2 linked regions of the Nothobranchius furzeri genome follow. The protein of the gene in region 1 interacts with the protein of each later gene in a pairwise test. Links are inferred from orthologs where the notes say so. Each region holds a gene or a part of one and is shown in the gene's direction. Other genes may lie near its edges.

Region 1 (8,129 bases):
TTACACATCATTTTTACAGTTATTTTACAGTTCTATACTTTAATCCTCCAGTGTTTCCTCTGCGGAGCCCTCCGCCTTGGGGCCGGTGGTTGGCGGCGCTCCTCGGGCAGTGCCCGGGCAGTGGTGGAGGTCTCCGCCCTCCCTCCCTGGGCGTCATGGGCCGGTGTCTTGGCTGCTGCCGTGGATCTGTTGCTGTCAAGGCAGATGGCTCCGCTGATAACGTGTCGTCCATTACCTGACCCATCTGAACTCAGCCTATTGTTTACTCTGTTGTTCATGTGGGGGTGTGTGTGTGTGTGCGTGTGTGCGAGTGTGTGGGTGAGTGTATGTCCACCTTGGAAATTGGTTGCGGGAGGGGAACTGCAATTGTCAATTGTTTTATACTTGGGGAGGGGGACTGGGATGGGAATATGGGATCTATGGGGCCACCTGTGAAGCACTTTGAGTTGCTGTTTTTTTTTTTGTATGAAAAGTGTTATATAAATAAAGTTGATTTGATCTGATCTGACATCACCCCCTCACCCTCTGAAGCAGGCAAACAAAGGGAGATGTGATAGAAAAAATATCGGTTGTCATTATCAGCCCGGTTTTAATTACCGGACCGATAAAAAAATGACTAACATCGGCCGATACAGATATTGATGTCGATATATTGTCCATACCTACAAGCTGTTTCGAATTTGCTCACCTCCTGTCGGGACAGAGTCATCGGCAGCTTCTCCTCGGTCAATTCCAGCTCCAATACTGGATTAGAAGAAGTAGAGGGTTCATTCTCCTCATTCTTGTCAATCTTAGGGACAAAATGAAAAAACAAACATACCAACATTAATGAAAGACAGTTGAGACAACACTGAAAATGTGTTTTCTTGCAACATTTACATAAATAAATATGTAGAAAAAGTGTTGAAATGAATATGTGCCATCAAACTTGATTCAGCAACATTCACATGTTCATCTTTATGTCATAATGTGGTGTTGCTGTAATCAGATTGATTTCATTAGATGTGGTCTGAACATTGCACATTCTAACACTTGTTGCAGGAAAAACATGTACAGTTCAGTTTAAAACAAAGATGACTGGAAAACAACATCATGCATTAAGGGACTCATGCAATACAGCACTGTCAGGTTGTGGTTTCAGAAGCCCAATCTAAAAAACAAAACAATAAAATGGTGACAAAAGGCCTTCTTAAAACCAAAAACACATGTCTCTTGCTCAAATAAACAAAACACATGAAGAAGAAGAATCACTTCAAGGGTTTAGTGTTTTAAAGCTTTAAAAAACTTGAACAGAATTGCAATTTTTTTATGAAACTTTTGGAATGTGTGGCCAACTAATAACACAAAACAAGAAAACACTTGAACTTGGTCTAAATATTGCAGCTTCTGTCCAAATTAATTTGCAAAATAAAGAGCAGAGCTTTGACTTTGTAGCCCAGTACACCATGCTGAAATCCAGAGAGTGGCTGTGTCCCACTTTAGCTTGCATTTGTTGCTTCCTTTCCTTGTTACCCTGCCTTTCAAAAAAATATTTTAGAACTTCACAAAAACATTATATACTGGGGTTGTTAATAGTATTTCTGGGACAAAACAAAAAATTATAAACTGTTCTGAGAAAGGTTAAAGTGGAGGAAGTGTGTTTAGGTACAGCTCAATAATTTTAAGCAGATAATATGCATTTACTTTGTTGGATTTAAAATAAAAAACTAGTTATTTGGATAAAAATGCCAATTAAGTTTGGCATAAACTGCAAGAACTTGTATTTTCACAACCCTCATCAACTGATGTCCTCCAAGAAAAAAAGTCCCCATCAAATGAAATGCCACTTCATTCTGAGAGGATGCCAAGGAAGCGGAAGCATTTGGGACACTGAGTGTTTATCCTTTCATCATGCAACCTGTTTACTACTTTCACTCAACAATCCCATACCTGGCTCTCGGGAGTCTCTGCCTGAACCTACAGATGCAGGCAGCAGAGGCAGGTCGCAGAAAAACAGCACAGTAAACACAGATACTGATTTAGACCTGCACATTAAGTCCTAGCCTTTTGTTTTTAAGCAAACTGTTCATGTACTGTGTAACAAACTCCACCAAGTTTCATTCAATTGTTGTGCTGAAAGGGATCTTTAACAACTAGTCTTAGGAAAATTCCTAAATTGACAATGACCTAAAGAAAAAAATAATAGGAATACAGTTATTTAGATGTAATGGAGCGTGTTCGAGAAAGTAATGCAAACTGATCTTGACATTAACCTTTAATCCACAGCGTTTGAAGTACTCTTCTTTTTCCTTGCGAGCCAGATCAGCTCTTTTGAAGAATTTTTTGGAGTCCTGTTGAGAAAAAGTTGATTGATATGTTTAATCCTATTGAAAATTCAACCTGTAGGGCAGTTAAAGGAACATAATAACACAGGAACTCCCCAACAAGAAGCTACATGCTAACGTTTGCTCTCTTTCTTATCCAAGAAACAATGTGCAATAACCCACCCGATTTAAAAAAAATCACAATTGACAGAGAACAAGCTAAATAATTCGTTTAGTTTAGAAACACAACACACAATTAATTTGAAATTCAAAGCAACAAGGTAGTAAGACGCGTTACACAAAAATGACTGAAGCACGTTTCAAGATCCGCTTTTTACGTTCAACGTAAAGATCTTACTGACACATTTAAATTTATACATGTAACGTTATTTTCCACGTGTGCAGAGTTCATAAGAGCACCGACGAGAGTAAGAAAAGCAATAATCATGGAAAGTGTTGACTTCAAACTTCCAGCTAACTCAACGCTAGCTAACAAAGCTAAATGTTAGGCTAACAAAAGCAGATTAAAAACCACAAAATACTCACATCAATGAGCTCTTTTTCCTCTAGAAGTTTTCTCTTTCTTGCTATTTCAGCTTTAAGTATATCCATTTCAGAAGAATATTATGAAAATGTCTTCTTTTGCGGATAGCTGAAGAGTGTTGACATCAAATGTAGAAAAAGGTTGACGTCCAGGGCTTAAAAACGGAAACAAAAAATTCAACATAAGAGCCTTAAAAAGTTCATTTCCTTTTTTCAAAATAAAAGACTAACTCCCAAATGCGACACTTCTGGAATGAACAGTTTTATTCTAGAATGAACCTGGTATGAACCTATATGGCTATGTTAAGAAGATTTCATTTACACTAAAAACTTTAAAATTTGAAAAGTATAAAGCTACACTAGTTGTATCAGATTTTCTCAAATTTATAAATTATATATAAACCTATTTGAATTTTCTTAAGATAACACAGTAAAATTAAATGAAAATGTACAGCTGCATCTATTTATATTATTTATGTATAGATGCAGTTGTACATTGTGTGTGTGTGTGTGTGTTTCTGAAAAAAATTGAAACGCTTAAAAATAACAAAAGGAGACGAAATTACATAAAAGCCTCCAAAAGTGTTTCAAATTAGACACATCTCAAAGAAAGACAACAGTAGTGGCATGAAAAAAGACTTAATTGGAGAACATTTAGAGGAAAAATGGTTGGAAAGTAAATGTAAATATCTAGGTATTCCAAACTTTGACAGACAACACTGGATTCCTGTAATACTCAATAGAGTTTGACCTTTTTATGCCACATTAGATATTTTCTGTCACATCATGTTTATGCTGTTAAACAAGTAAATTCTGTTGTGAGCAGCGTTTTAGATCCAGTTTAATTCAAAAAGCCTTTTAAAAAGTTCTGTAGCTCCTTCAACCTGACTGCTTTTGCTTAGATTTCAGTTTGTTGTCCAGTGGCAAAAGCCTTGTGCTCGACCTTTTAAAGGATACCATCAGGTGGCGCAAAGGGATATGTGACGAATTCTTAATAATAAAGTCATTAATGTATTTACATGGCGAAAGGGAAGGACCGCCGTCATGCTGGGAGAGGGGATGCATGTCCACAATTTTTTATTCCTGGAGAATTTTACACCCAAACGTTGGGAAATCTTCCGATGACAAGAATAGGCGAATTTTCTAACTGATTAATGAAGCAGACGGACAGTGATTGTGCTGAGTGAAAAAATAAAAAAAAATACAGATTTTGTCTTGGAGCGAAATCCGACGGCACGACTTGCTGGATATTCCCGTTGAGGATGGAGTTTGGAGAACGGAAGCGGAGAAGGAAATCCCAGAGCTTTAAACTGGTCACGGATGAAGGTAATGCTGCTGAATGAAAGCGAGACCTTAACAAGACGCGCTCATGTGTCTGGGTGTTTGTCTGGCGCCGTGTGCCAGCAGCAGAGACAAAAGCGATGGCCACGACAATACCCAGTCTGTGCATCGATTTTCTATAAATAAATCCCCAAGAGCCAACCTTTCAAACAAGAAAACGAAACAGAAATTCTCCTCACATGGTCCAGGCGTTTAAATTTTTCAAAAAGAAGAATAATTAATCAAAAACGTACACATCTGTTGCGCATTTATGTCATGCGACTCGAAGCTTTTTATATATTATTTTTTGCTACTAAATACCTTTCTCTAAACTACTTCATACCTACAGGTGGTGGTTTGTGCATGGATGGGAGGGGGGCTGGTTTACATCAGAGCACACCAGTCTGCAGACACTTTGCATCACAAGTTTTGCTGCAATTTTTTCTTATTTTGTTATTAAAAAAACAATTTTATGTGCAGATTGTGACCCTTCATATGTTGCAAGTTGCAAGAATGGCAACGAGGGAGCTAATGATGCAGCTGTACCTGGTGGTATTCTGATTATTTTTTTATATATTGCATGACTGCAAAATGATGCTCTAACCACCTTCTGTTAAATGCAGTTTGGCTTGATGAGAGCATGGGGATCAAGAGGCAAATCACGGGTATGATGAGACTTCTGAGTGATAAGACTGGGAGGGCATATCAACAGGTTGGAAGTGAGTCAAACAGCTTGCCTCAGGAGCCCCAGGATAAAGATCTGAACAGCCTGCACCAGACACAAATTCCATCTCCTGCATCACATCGTCACCGCAGCTGGAGCTCTGAGGGGGACCCTGAGCCAGCATCTTCATCCATAGCGAGCCCCACTCTAAACGGTCAAGCCTGTGGTCATAGCACCCTGTCCAAAAGCTCCAGGAGCCTCAGCAGCTTAAAGGACTCAGTCAAACCCAGTAATACAAACGGTAGGGAATCTTTGAATCTCAGGTCATTATATTTTAAAATGTTTGCAAAAACTTCAATTTCCTCTTAAGTTTTTGGTCAACGTCAGCATGAAAGCACATTGGACATGTTAAAGCTGACAGTGACTAAACAAATCAACACTGACTTTGCAGGAGAAGTGCTCCCTCCTGCTGTGCCTGAAATCCCCTGCTGCATGTGTAACTGTAAAGACACCTTAGAGGCTATACTCCAGGAACTGAGAGCAATGAGGAGGCTGATGCAAACTCAAAAAGGTCAGAAAGGAGGAATCTTATACAAAATATATGGACAACCTAAAGGAAATCTTTTATTCTTGTGATTTTTTTTCCTCCATAGCACCATTTGAAAAGAAAGAACAGGCAGGATCACCATGCCAACCTTCCCTTGGTCCAGGTTCCTCTCCTCGGCGTACACCCCAAAAGAGAAGGCCGATCTATAAGGTGGCTCCACTCAGTGTGTACAGCACCAGAAGGGCACCCACATCTTCCTCAGTGCTTAAACCAGTTACTTCTGAGTCCATGAGGAGGGAGGATTGTGAGAAACTAGACTCATCAGCACTCAACATTGGTTTGATTTCCTGTAATGTGTCTGCGCAGCCACCTCAGGTCAGCAACACACACGATCCTCCCCTGAACCAACCAAAGGAGCATCAAGTGTTAGAGGTAACACGCTCAGTGGTGTTGATTAGGGTTCAGTCTGTGGCTAAAATTTGACTGTTGAACTCTTTGGCATTAACTACCTGCAGGACCTAGATCCTCCACTAGAGGACACAATGTATGTTTAGGATTAGGTTTTTGATGAAAGTACAAATCCTGTTTAAGAGGCAGAGTTCTGAGGGAGGGTCTGCTTTTTCTTTCCTTTGCTAAACTCTGATGATAAACTATTTGAAAAGATTTCAGGAAGTTAAATTTTAAAGTTACATTCACAGTACTGGAGCTATAATGCTAAAGGTGGTGATGCCTTCATAAAGACTGCTTTAATCACCTCTCCTGGTTGATAACTTTACCATAATGATTAATATTTCCTTTTCACTCCCTCACAGTCTGACGTTCGTCTTGCAGAGGACTATGATGTTTTCATCTCCAAGGCCCAACTGGACTCCATCCTAGTAAATTATACCCGCTCTGGCAGCTTGCTGTTTCGCAAACTGGTACGCTTCTGGGATTTTAAAAAGCAAAAATTAAACATACTTCTAAGATCAGGAGCTGTGTTTTGTCCTTAGGTGTGTGCCTTCTTTGATGACGCTACTCTGGCCAACTCTCTGCCAAATGGCAAAAGGAAACGTGGGCTCAATGACAACCGTAAGGGTTTGGACCAAAACATTGTGGGTGCAATTAAAGGTAAAACAAGATCAATTCACTCTTTGTTGCTGGCATAATAAAGACAAATGTTCTAATTATTTGAGTGACTTGTGGCCAGTGTTTACAGAAAAATACTGCACCAATCACAGAATAGAGAAGTTGCCAGGGCCTCGAGATTGGGTGCAGATCCTTCAAGACCAGATCAAACTTGCAAGGAGGAGGCTGAAACGAGGTCTGAAGCAGTCATTTGTTTTCTTTAAGTAAAATAAACAAGTTGCATATCGAAAGCTGTTCTATTGGGTCAATAGATGCTGCAGAAGCTGAGGAAAGCTCAACTGGACCATCGACCAGTAAGAACCTCACACAAAACTGCCTACATTTGCACTGGTTCTTCATCTTACATCACCTTTTCATCAGCCCCCCTCAGAGCACATAATGGCTTCACCTCTCCTCACTCCATTGTCACAACACACCCACAAATTGGTGTCTCTGGCTCCCTCATTGGCTCACCAGGCTATGGCATGCTTTCGCGCTGACATTTGACATTTTCATGCAGCTTCCCAAAATGTCAGCTAATTATCTTCACAACGTGCATCGTTTTCACTCTTTCACCTTTACAACGTAGCCACAGCTGTCAAATATCTAAATTCTCTACTTGCCACACATGCTTACATAAAATTCGCTGTTGTTTTGTTTTATAGTTCACAGCATTAAATTATATACTAACAATATTTTCTTCCTATACAGGCTGTGATTATAAGAAACCTGAATGTGACGAACACACACTGAAGAATGTAACGTGTTGATTCAACAGCTGCCTCGGCTGGAGTTCAGCTGATTATTTTTGTCCTCGTTATTTCTCTAACTGTAAGTGTTGGATTATGCCATTTTGCAACTGTTAACTATTAGGTAAAATGGGTAAAAGAAAATAAAAGGGCCAAACGAGAAAGCATCCATCATGAGCAAATATGGTTTACATTGTGTTAAATGAGCAGTCCATGATTGACATCCTTTTGGATCTGGAATTTTGTGCCAGGAAATACTGATGTAATAAAATAAAATAAGTGATTTATTGTTCACGGTTTAAGCAAATGCCTAAAAGGTGTGGAACACTCATTCAATCAATATGTTTGCAGTAGGAATGAATGCCTTATTAGTCGTACTTGGGGTGCACTGATGCACCATTTCCAGGAACTAGAAGTGAGCCACATCACAGCTGAGCTTCAGACGGCATGTTTTGGAGTCTGATTTCCTGAAATTCGGACAGCTAAACAGCTCTACCACTGACTCTGTTTGCTTTGCAACGTTGATTTTTATTTCCATATAAGCCTGGAGGAGTTCTGCTGTGTGGTGAAGTTGCTGATGCTAACAGTTAGCTTCTACTAGCCAATACATTCTCTGCTGTTTCCTGGATGTTAAATAAACAACAGCCTTCCCTGTTGTGGTCAAGATGGGTGAGTCCATGGGTATTTCTCAATGTCAAGGAGCCTGGCCTCGCTTACGAGGACACTGTCCTTCCTTGGGCAAAGGAAACGGTTAAATGGAACAGACTTGCATGACATGACCACAACTTCCACGGCGGTCATGTCTTGTCACGTGATACATGAGGTAACGTTATATTTTATGCGTATGAGTTTCAATATAAACGTATAACAAGCCTTATACTTTTTAAATTGTGTAC
Region 2 (7,626 bases), on another chromosome or scaffold:
GATGAGAAGAATGTTACATAATTTTGTTTCTGTTCTATAGAGTGACTGTCCTTATGTTGGTTGTGGGGAGTCCTATGCTGATCATAGCACCCTGCATGCACAGGTAACACTCGCACACAACCAAACATTAAATGGCTCACATCTTCAGCTGTGAGAGCATGAGCTCATTTATATCAAGTTATTTTTTTTTGTGTGTGTTTTGTAGACCAAGAAGCACAACCTGACCGTGAACCTGACAACCTTCAGGATCTGGTGTTATGTGTGCGAGCGGGAGGTGTTTTTAGATCAGAAACCAGCTCTGGTTCCTGTTCCGGCCGCTCCTCATCACTGCAAAGCCACAGAGCAGGTGGGTTATCTCAGGTTTCCTGATTATTTTTTGTTCCTGTCTGATCGACAACAAAAAGCAGCATAGAGCTTATATAATGTGTTAATTGTTTTCCCAGGAGGCAGTTCCTCTGGCAGCAAGTCACCCACTGAAAGCAGTACCAATCGCTGTGGCGGAAGAAGGGTCAGAATCAGAGGAGGATGAGCTTAAACCCAGAGGTACAGAATAATAAAAGGAGTTTGCAAGGATGACCGAGTGGAGCCCAATTTCCTAAATATCCATTAAAAGCGATAGACTTCAAGACTGATTTGTCAGGTCGCCGCTTCCTTTAACTTAATCAAAAACACTGCCATCCCCTCTCAAAAATAAAATAAAACGAGAGCCAAAGACATCTAGTTGCAGACACGGAGCAGCTTAAAGAACGCCTCGCGACAAAAGTCCAACGATATTAATGTTAATACAACCGTGGCAGAACAAGAACGCAGCAGACTTTTAATTTGTGTCAGGAAATTACAGGAAGTTTGAGTTTAGAGGTGGCGACCACATGAAGAGGTGGAGGACAATGAGGGGCAAATTCTTCAGAGTAAAAATGTCTCTGAAATACAGAAACGCAATGTAAACACACAATAGTAAACACGCTAGAGATGTGACTGCAACGATGGCGGGATACCACAGGAAAGTGCTACGCCCTCTGCTGTCTTGGCAGAGAATTGTTTCACAACACTGACACCAACGGAGACGTGTGGAAGAAAAACATCTCCGTCAGTGTGTGCGGGCACCAATGTGTCGACGGAAAAGTGGAAACCAGCCTTTAGAGTTTTACTTACAAGCCCCTAATTTAACGCAGTAGTTGAATCTTCTGATTTCTGCATCTTAATGTATGAAGAAGTCATCCCAGACCTTTGTGGGTCTTGTTTTTGTTGCTTTTAGGTTTGACAGGCATGAAAAACATTGGGAATTCCTGCTACATGAATGCTGCTCTTCAGGCCCTGTCCAACTGGTGAGTTCACCCTCTCCCTCTGTCAGTGGGGATGTGTCAGCTCCTCTTGTGTTTGTCCCTAAAGCAGCTGTATTGATGCGGTTTGTCGTTCTCTCTCCACCAGTCCTCCTCTCACTCAGTTTTTCCTGGACTGTAGCGGGTTGGTCCGGACCGATAAGAAGCCGGCTCTGTGTAAAAGCTACCAGAAACTGATCTCAGAACTCTGGCATAAGAAACGGTATCAAACACTCACCTGAGGCTATTCAGTTTTACATATATAAGATGATTTATTAATATATATTATATATTTATTTCAAACTCTCCTCTGACTTCTCCCTCAGGCCCAGTTATGTTGTTCCCACCAGCCTGTCTCATGGCATCAAATTAGTAAACCCCATGTTTCGAGGTTATGCCCAGCAGGTAAGCGCTCAGTACGTACCTGCTAACCACCTGACAGTGGAAATGTAAATGTTTCAATTAGATTTGTTTCATTTTTACAGCAGAAACGTCCCTGATCCTCTTTTTGGTCATATTTTTAAATGAAATAATCTCGTGTTGCTCTAGGACACTCAGGAGTTCCTACGCTGTCTGATGGACCAGTTACACGAGGAGCTGAAAGAGCCGCTGACTGAGTGCAGCCTGAGTGTCGAGGGAAGCGACGGGGAGGAGAGGAGAGACGGGGACCGCTCTCCATCCGAAGATGAATTTCTGTCCTGTGACTCCGGCTCCAGCAGTGACCGGGGGGAGAGTGGAGGGCTGGGCGACGGCGAGCTGCTCCTGCAGGACGAGTGTGACGGGTTCAGGCCCCCGTCCATGGGGATGGCCGGAATCGTCTCTCCAGCGGTGATCTCGGAGAAGGAGAGGCTGAAGGAGAAGAGGATGTCTGGCTCACCGCTGCGTGGAGGCTCACAGGAGATGGATGAAGATGCGGATGTGGACACATCAGCTGAGGAGCAGGCTCCTTGGAGGACAGAGGAGGAGCAGTCAGCTCCAGATGCACACACCGAAGTCCAAAGTCAGGAAAATAACCAGACATCTGCTTCAGGGCAAGTCCAGAGCAACAGTACCTCAGGTAGAAGACCAGCAGGAGTGTTACGTTTAGCTTCTTTCTTTTCTAAATTGTAACGTTAAACTGCGTGTACGTAATATGACGTGTGATTCTAGAACCAGATAATGAAGCATCAATGCCCCAACCGCAGTCCAGTCCCTGCAGTCCGGTACGGACTCTCCAGGAGCTGCATCCCAAACTGTCATCCAGTCCACCACGCTCCAGCCCCCTCCGCTCAGCTGGACCTGCATACTCCTTCAAAAAGGGTGCCTGATCAGCTACTTCTGGGGTTTCTGTTTTACACCTTCACACCTGTGCATATTTCACCCGCCAAAACAAATTATGGGCAGAGCAGCCATAAAAGCTGTTGAACTTTATCCTTCTTGTTTAAGCTGCAGGTGACAGAATCAGTTCAGATTGACTGTGGTTCATTAGCATTGCCTGAAGCAGAAGAATTTATTCACCTGTTAGTTGAGGGTGAAATGAAGACTTAACTGTGATGTTTTATTCAGACGTGGAACAAAAAAGTTTAAACAACACTTAATAAGTTTAACGTTCCTTCCTCCAGCTGCTCCTTCAAGGCTCTGCCGATGTTCACTCTGGTTTTAGCTCTTTGTTTTGCCTCCGTAGACATTACTCTCTTACTTTTACTTCCATGATGCCAACAAAAAAGCAAAATTCTTCTTCTTCCACTTTTTACCAACAGTCAGCGAACCGAATAAGCTAGCTGTTAGCCGTTATATTAGCTACTGGCACAGTAAACAGCTATTGCCGTAAAGCAGGCAGAGACCTCTGACAAGTGTTCCTGCCCAAACCACGAAACTGTTCTGCTCAGCAGAGGGTTACAGTGCTGTTCAGTGTGAAGTTGCTCATGTTTCTGCCTCAAGAATCTCTGAACCCAGTTTGAAAATGGTGTTAAAATCTCTTTAGTGTTGATTTAAATACAGAAAAACCTGCAGAAGACTTAGACGTAACTTGAAACTGATAATAATAATAATTAAAATTCAACTGATGAAAATCTAATTTCTGTTGAATTTAGGTTCATCAGAATAAGAATAAAAAAACTAATGAAACCGACTTAAGTAAATATTATGGTACTCCAATAGAAAAGATAAGCTAAGGGGCATCTTGTAACTGTTTCTGTTCAACCACAAGTCTTTGTGTTGTTTCAGTAACTACTGAGTATTTGTCTCCCGTAAGTGGAAGAGTCCTAACGATTTATGTCTGTAAACGAAGAAAAACTGTGATGTCGTTATACGATTAGATCTGCTTGAGACTCTGGCTGATGGCGTTGTTGGTTGAGTCTGTCTCCTTCGTGTCTTCCAGCTCAGCTGCTGCTCAGTTCCAGGAAGAAGAAGCAGTCTCACTATCGCAGCGTAATCTCAGACATCTTTGACGGCTCCATCCTCAGTCTGGTCCAGTGTTTAACCTGTGACAGGGTAAGATGTGCTTCATGTGTTACAACACCAGGGGGAGCTCCTCACGTAATCCAACTCAGAAATGTTCTGCGTAATCACAGATGAAGACATTTTATATAGATAGAAATTTGACTTGTGCTTTTTCATTTGAGAGAAATAATAGCTGTTATGAAATGAATAAAAATGTTGCAGGTTAACATTTTATCTTTCTAATGACACCGTCTCATGCGTTGTGATTCAGCTCTGTGGATGTGTGACAGGTTTCCACCACGGTAGAGACCTTCCAGGACCTATCCCTGCCCATTCCGGGCAAGGAAGACTTGGCGAAGCTGCATTCCTCCATCCATCAGAACCTGCCAATGAAGACCGGCGTCTGCCCCGACACCTACGGCTCACAGGGCTGGATCGCTTACATCATGGACTCCATACGCCGGTCAGTGAAGCACATTCTGTTTAAAGTGGTAGTCGCACGCGCAGTAAACTATGAAATGATGATGAAAACACGTGAAGGGTTTTTGTTTTATTGCCAGATGCAGGTTAGAAAAACAGGACTGCAGGGTTTGTGTTTCACTATGAATGTGGGCAAGTAGCATCTTGAGTTGTCATGTTCTCCCTATTTATTCGTAAAAGTTCGCTTCATTTTTCTGGAAGTCGACCACATTTGGAATTCCAAGTAAGTGATCATCCCGTGCGTTGAATGCAGCTGTTTTGGGAAAATGTACTACAGGTAAATGCAGGTGAGGACATGCAGGTAGCTCTGCCTAAACTTTAGAGGCAACAAATGCAGCCTTGCGCTCTTTTCAGTTTTCTCATGTGCTTACCTTTCTTTTGTTTTTAAGGCGTCTGTATGATTACCCTGCAATAGACTCATCACATCAGCAATGACGCATCACTTTTTTATTTACAGGAAACGGCCAAATGTAGCCGGTCATCGTGAAACCCAGACTCCTTTTAAATATTTAGGCGTTGCAGCTGAATTTGAGTTTAAGCCGGCTGCTTTAAAATAGTCTGAGTTTAGTTTTTCAGGGCCAACCTTGAATAGTGTTGGGATTATGGTTAAACAGTTGAGGAAAATAATTGTCCAAGGCAATGAGAAGAAAATGCATTCATTATCTATGCTGGGTGGTGGTTTATCATCATCGTCAGTTTGTGATGAAAACAGTTTTATGACATCAGTGAGTAGATTTCCCTTTATTTTAAATCAATGATGTACTAATTGAGACTTTCCCTTGCATTTGTCACGGCTGCAGCTCATCCATAGGTGGCGCTGGAGTTCCACCCTCAAATGTGGGGGAGAAAAAAGTTGTGTGTGTTCATTTAACAAACATCAATTATGATGATCTGCAATGTTTGTGGTGAATTAAAGACGCTATGAATTAGATTTAGCCTGGCAAGCCAGACTAAATAAATGTATTATTTAGTGTGGCCACACTCCATTGACAGCTCTCAGTTGTGGGGCAGGTTCTACCGTTGTCTTTCAAATGATCTCCGCATTCTACTGGACAATGACTGTGACATACTCTTGTTTCACTCTGTTGCATCATCCCACCCACCAGGCATATAGAGTGCCCTGATTGGCCCACAAAGCGGACAAAGCTCTGTGATTTGTTCACCAAGCAGATAGAGCACTATGATTGGCCCACCATTATGGACCAAATCACAGCTCTTTATGTGTTTGAAACCCCTCTAGAGAGCTGTGATTGGCTAGCCAGAGTCCTGGTAGGAGCTGCTGAGGTTCCAATGGAGCATGCCTAGACCAAACTTTGCAAAGCAAGAATTTGGTCTAGTTCACTAGGCTAAATTAGATTAGCTCCAGTTAGCCTGCTGAGCTAACGGAAGCTAACCACCGTTGGTGTGTTGTTGCTGTGTTGAAATTCTAATTCCATCTTTTAGTTCTTTTTAAAACACAGAACGGTTTTATTTACCTGCAACGTTTCGTTTGCGGCTGCGGACTTCGTCAGGCTGATGAACTGAGCCGCGTGCGTCTTTAACAGCCTTACTGTCATTTAGTTATTGTGCACTTGTCGTCATTTCCCAACTGTTCATTTCTTTGCTTTCGCTGATGAGCTAGCTGATTATTATTAGCACATCTGCCTCACCAAGAATCTTTCTTGTACCAGCCGCCTCAGATTTGTCATGTTAGGTGTTGGAGCAGAGACCATCAAGTTGTAACTAGTTATTATTCAGTAGCTTGCAACTTTAGAAAATGTCATCATAGGTGAGTCATGCCGAACTTCAGGACTTTAGTTAGGGTCTCACCCATCTTGACTCACGACGGGGAAGTGCTGTCGTTGGTTTAGCATTCAGGAAACAGCAGAGAACGTCTTAGCTAGCAGAAGCCAACCATTAGCATTAGCAACACAGCAGAACTCCAGGCTTGTGTTATTTGTGGAGATGAAACATCAACGTTGCAGCGCAAATGGAGTCAGTGGTAGAGTCGTTGCTGTTAGCCAATCAAAGAAGAGATGTCCAAATATCAGGAAGTCCTGCCGTCTTCTGCTCCACTCTCTGGATCACTTCTAGTTCCTGAAACAGGAGAGCCAGAGCTTTTTTACCTCTGAGATCGACTAACAAAGCGCTCATTTAGACCACCATTAATGTACTGAAAAATGAGAGAACTTGGTTTTATACAATTAAAAGTTGTTCCAGCTCTGGTGCTCTGTTTGCAGCTGATGGAAATGAACTTTTGTACTTTAAAAAAACTTTTTTCCCCATGAATTGAAAAGCTTTTGTTCTGCTTAAACTGGAACTCAACAGCCTGCTCAACATTTTACGGTCTTCTGTCGGGTTGTAATAAGTTTTAAATAGCTACCTGGACTCTTGGCTGCTTCACCGTTTAACCATCTGATTTGCAGAAGCCTTGGGTCTGATTTCTGCGTGCAGTGCTGATTGTTGTCTCATTAAACAGGTTTGTTGTCTCATGCATCCCCACTTGGTTTTGGGGGCCCATGGTTACTCTGGAGGACTGCCTCGCTGCCTTTTTTGCTGCAGATGAGCTGAAAGGTGAACAGAACTGAAATGTGATGTTCGCCCCATTCAATGTGCTTGAACTCACGTTTCTGTTCGTCATCTGTTCCAGGAGACAACATGTACAGCTGCGAGAGATGTAAGAAGTGAGTATGTACAACGATCCAGGCTTGCTTCGGATGAGAACACTGTGTTCTTTTATTAATTATTTTTGCCTGTAACAGGTTGCGAAATGGGGTCAAATACTGCAAAGTGCTAAAACTCCCTGAGGTATGTGTTTTATCTTTTGATTTCAGTCTTCCTGCAGATAAAAAGTAAGCTTTACTGAACGTGAGTATGTGTCTCGTATAGATTCTTTGCATTCACCTGAAGCGTTTTCGACACGAGATCATGTATTCATTCAAGATCAGCAGCCACGTGTCGTTCCCGCTGGAGGGCCTCGACATGCAGCCTTTCCTGGCTAAAGACAGCCCATCTCAAGTCACCACCTACGATCTGCTGTCAGTCATCTGCCATCATGGCACGGCAGGAAGTATGAGAATACATCATTTCCCACAAGCTGTGTTTCGTTTCTCTGTGGTTCACCAGACACTGACCAAGCACCTGCACGAGTTGCTTGATCTTATCAGTTTTTAGTCAGCAGAAAAACTGATCTTCTTGCATTTTCTCATCTGTTTTGTGTGCAGGTGGTCATTATATAGCTTACTGTCAGAATGTGATTAACGGTCAGTGGTATGAGTTTGATGACCAGTATGTGACAGAAGTCCACGAGACGGTGGTGCAGAATGCAGAGGCCTACGTTTTGTTTTATAGGTGAGCATAAAAGCATCGGATCGAAATGGGAACCGTCGGATCTTTGTTTAGGTGTGACCGTGTTTCTGACGTTTTA

The links. The genes of interacting proteins can lie anywhere in the genome.
Region 2: the proteins of bend7 (region 1) and usp20 interact in binary tests that used the Homo sapiens proteins (3 or more experiments, as listed by UniProt). The two-hybrid records come from large-scale screens. The link is inferred for Nothobranchius furzeri from reciprocal best matches to the Homo sapiens genes BEND7 and USP20.

The regions. Positions count from the first base shown.
Region 1 is NC_091744.1:72,598,749-72,606,877, reverse strand, and holds the start of bend7 (BEN domain-containing protein 7), read left to right. Parts: upstream 1-3,350; 5' UTR 3,351-4,108; coding exon 4,109-4,172; intron 4,173-4,646; coding exon 4,647-4,715; intron 4,716-4,789; coding exon 4,790-5,131; intron 5,132-5,281; coding exon 5,282-5,401; intron 5,402-5,483; coding exon 5,484-5,809; intron 5,810-6,189; coding exon 6,190-6,297; intron 6,298-6,369; coding exon 6,370-6,487; intron 6,488-6,566; coding exon 6,567-6,680; intron 6,681-6,756; coding exon 6,757-6,798; intron 6,799-7,195; coding exon 7,196-7,254; 3' UTR 7,255-8,129. Other genes in the region: prpf18 (pre-mRNA-splicing factor 18), read right to left, coding at 689-790, 1,930-1,956, 2,253-2,330, 2,850-2,915.
Region 2 is NC_091746.1:62,094,896-62,102,521, reverse strand, and holds part of usp20 (ubiquitin carboxyl-terminal hydrolase 20), read left to right. Parts: intron 1-40; coding exon 41-103; intron 104-205; coding exon 206-346; intron 347-443; coding exon 444-543; intron 544-1,255; coding exon 1,256-1,325; intron 1,326-1,428; coding exon 1,429-1,542; intron 1,543-1,645; coding exon 1,646-1,724; intron 1,725-1,868; coding exon 1,869-2,376; intron 2,377-2,468; coding exon 2,469-2,618; intron 2,619-3,678; coding exon 3,679-3,791; intron 3,792-4,030; coding exon 4,031-4,203; intron 4,204-6,678; coding exon 6,679-6,773; intron 6,774-6,849; coding exon 6,850-6,883; intron 6,884-6,961; coding exon 6,962-7,007; intron 7,008-7,088; coding exon 7,089-7,269; intron 7,270-7,423; coding exon 7,424-7,550; intron 7,551-7,626.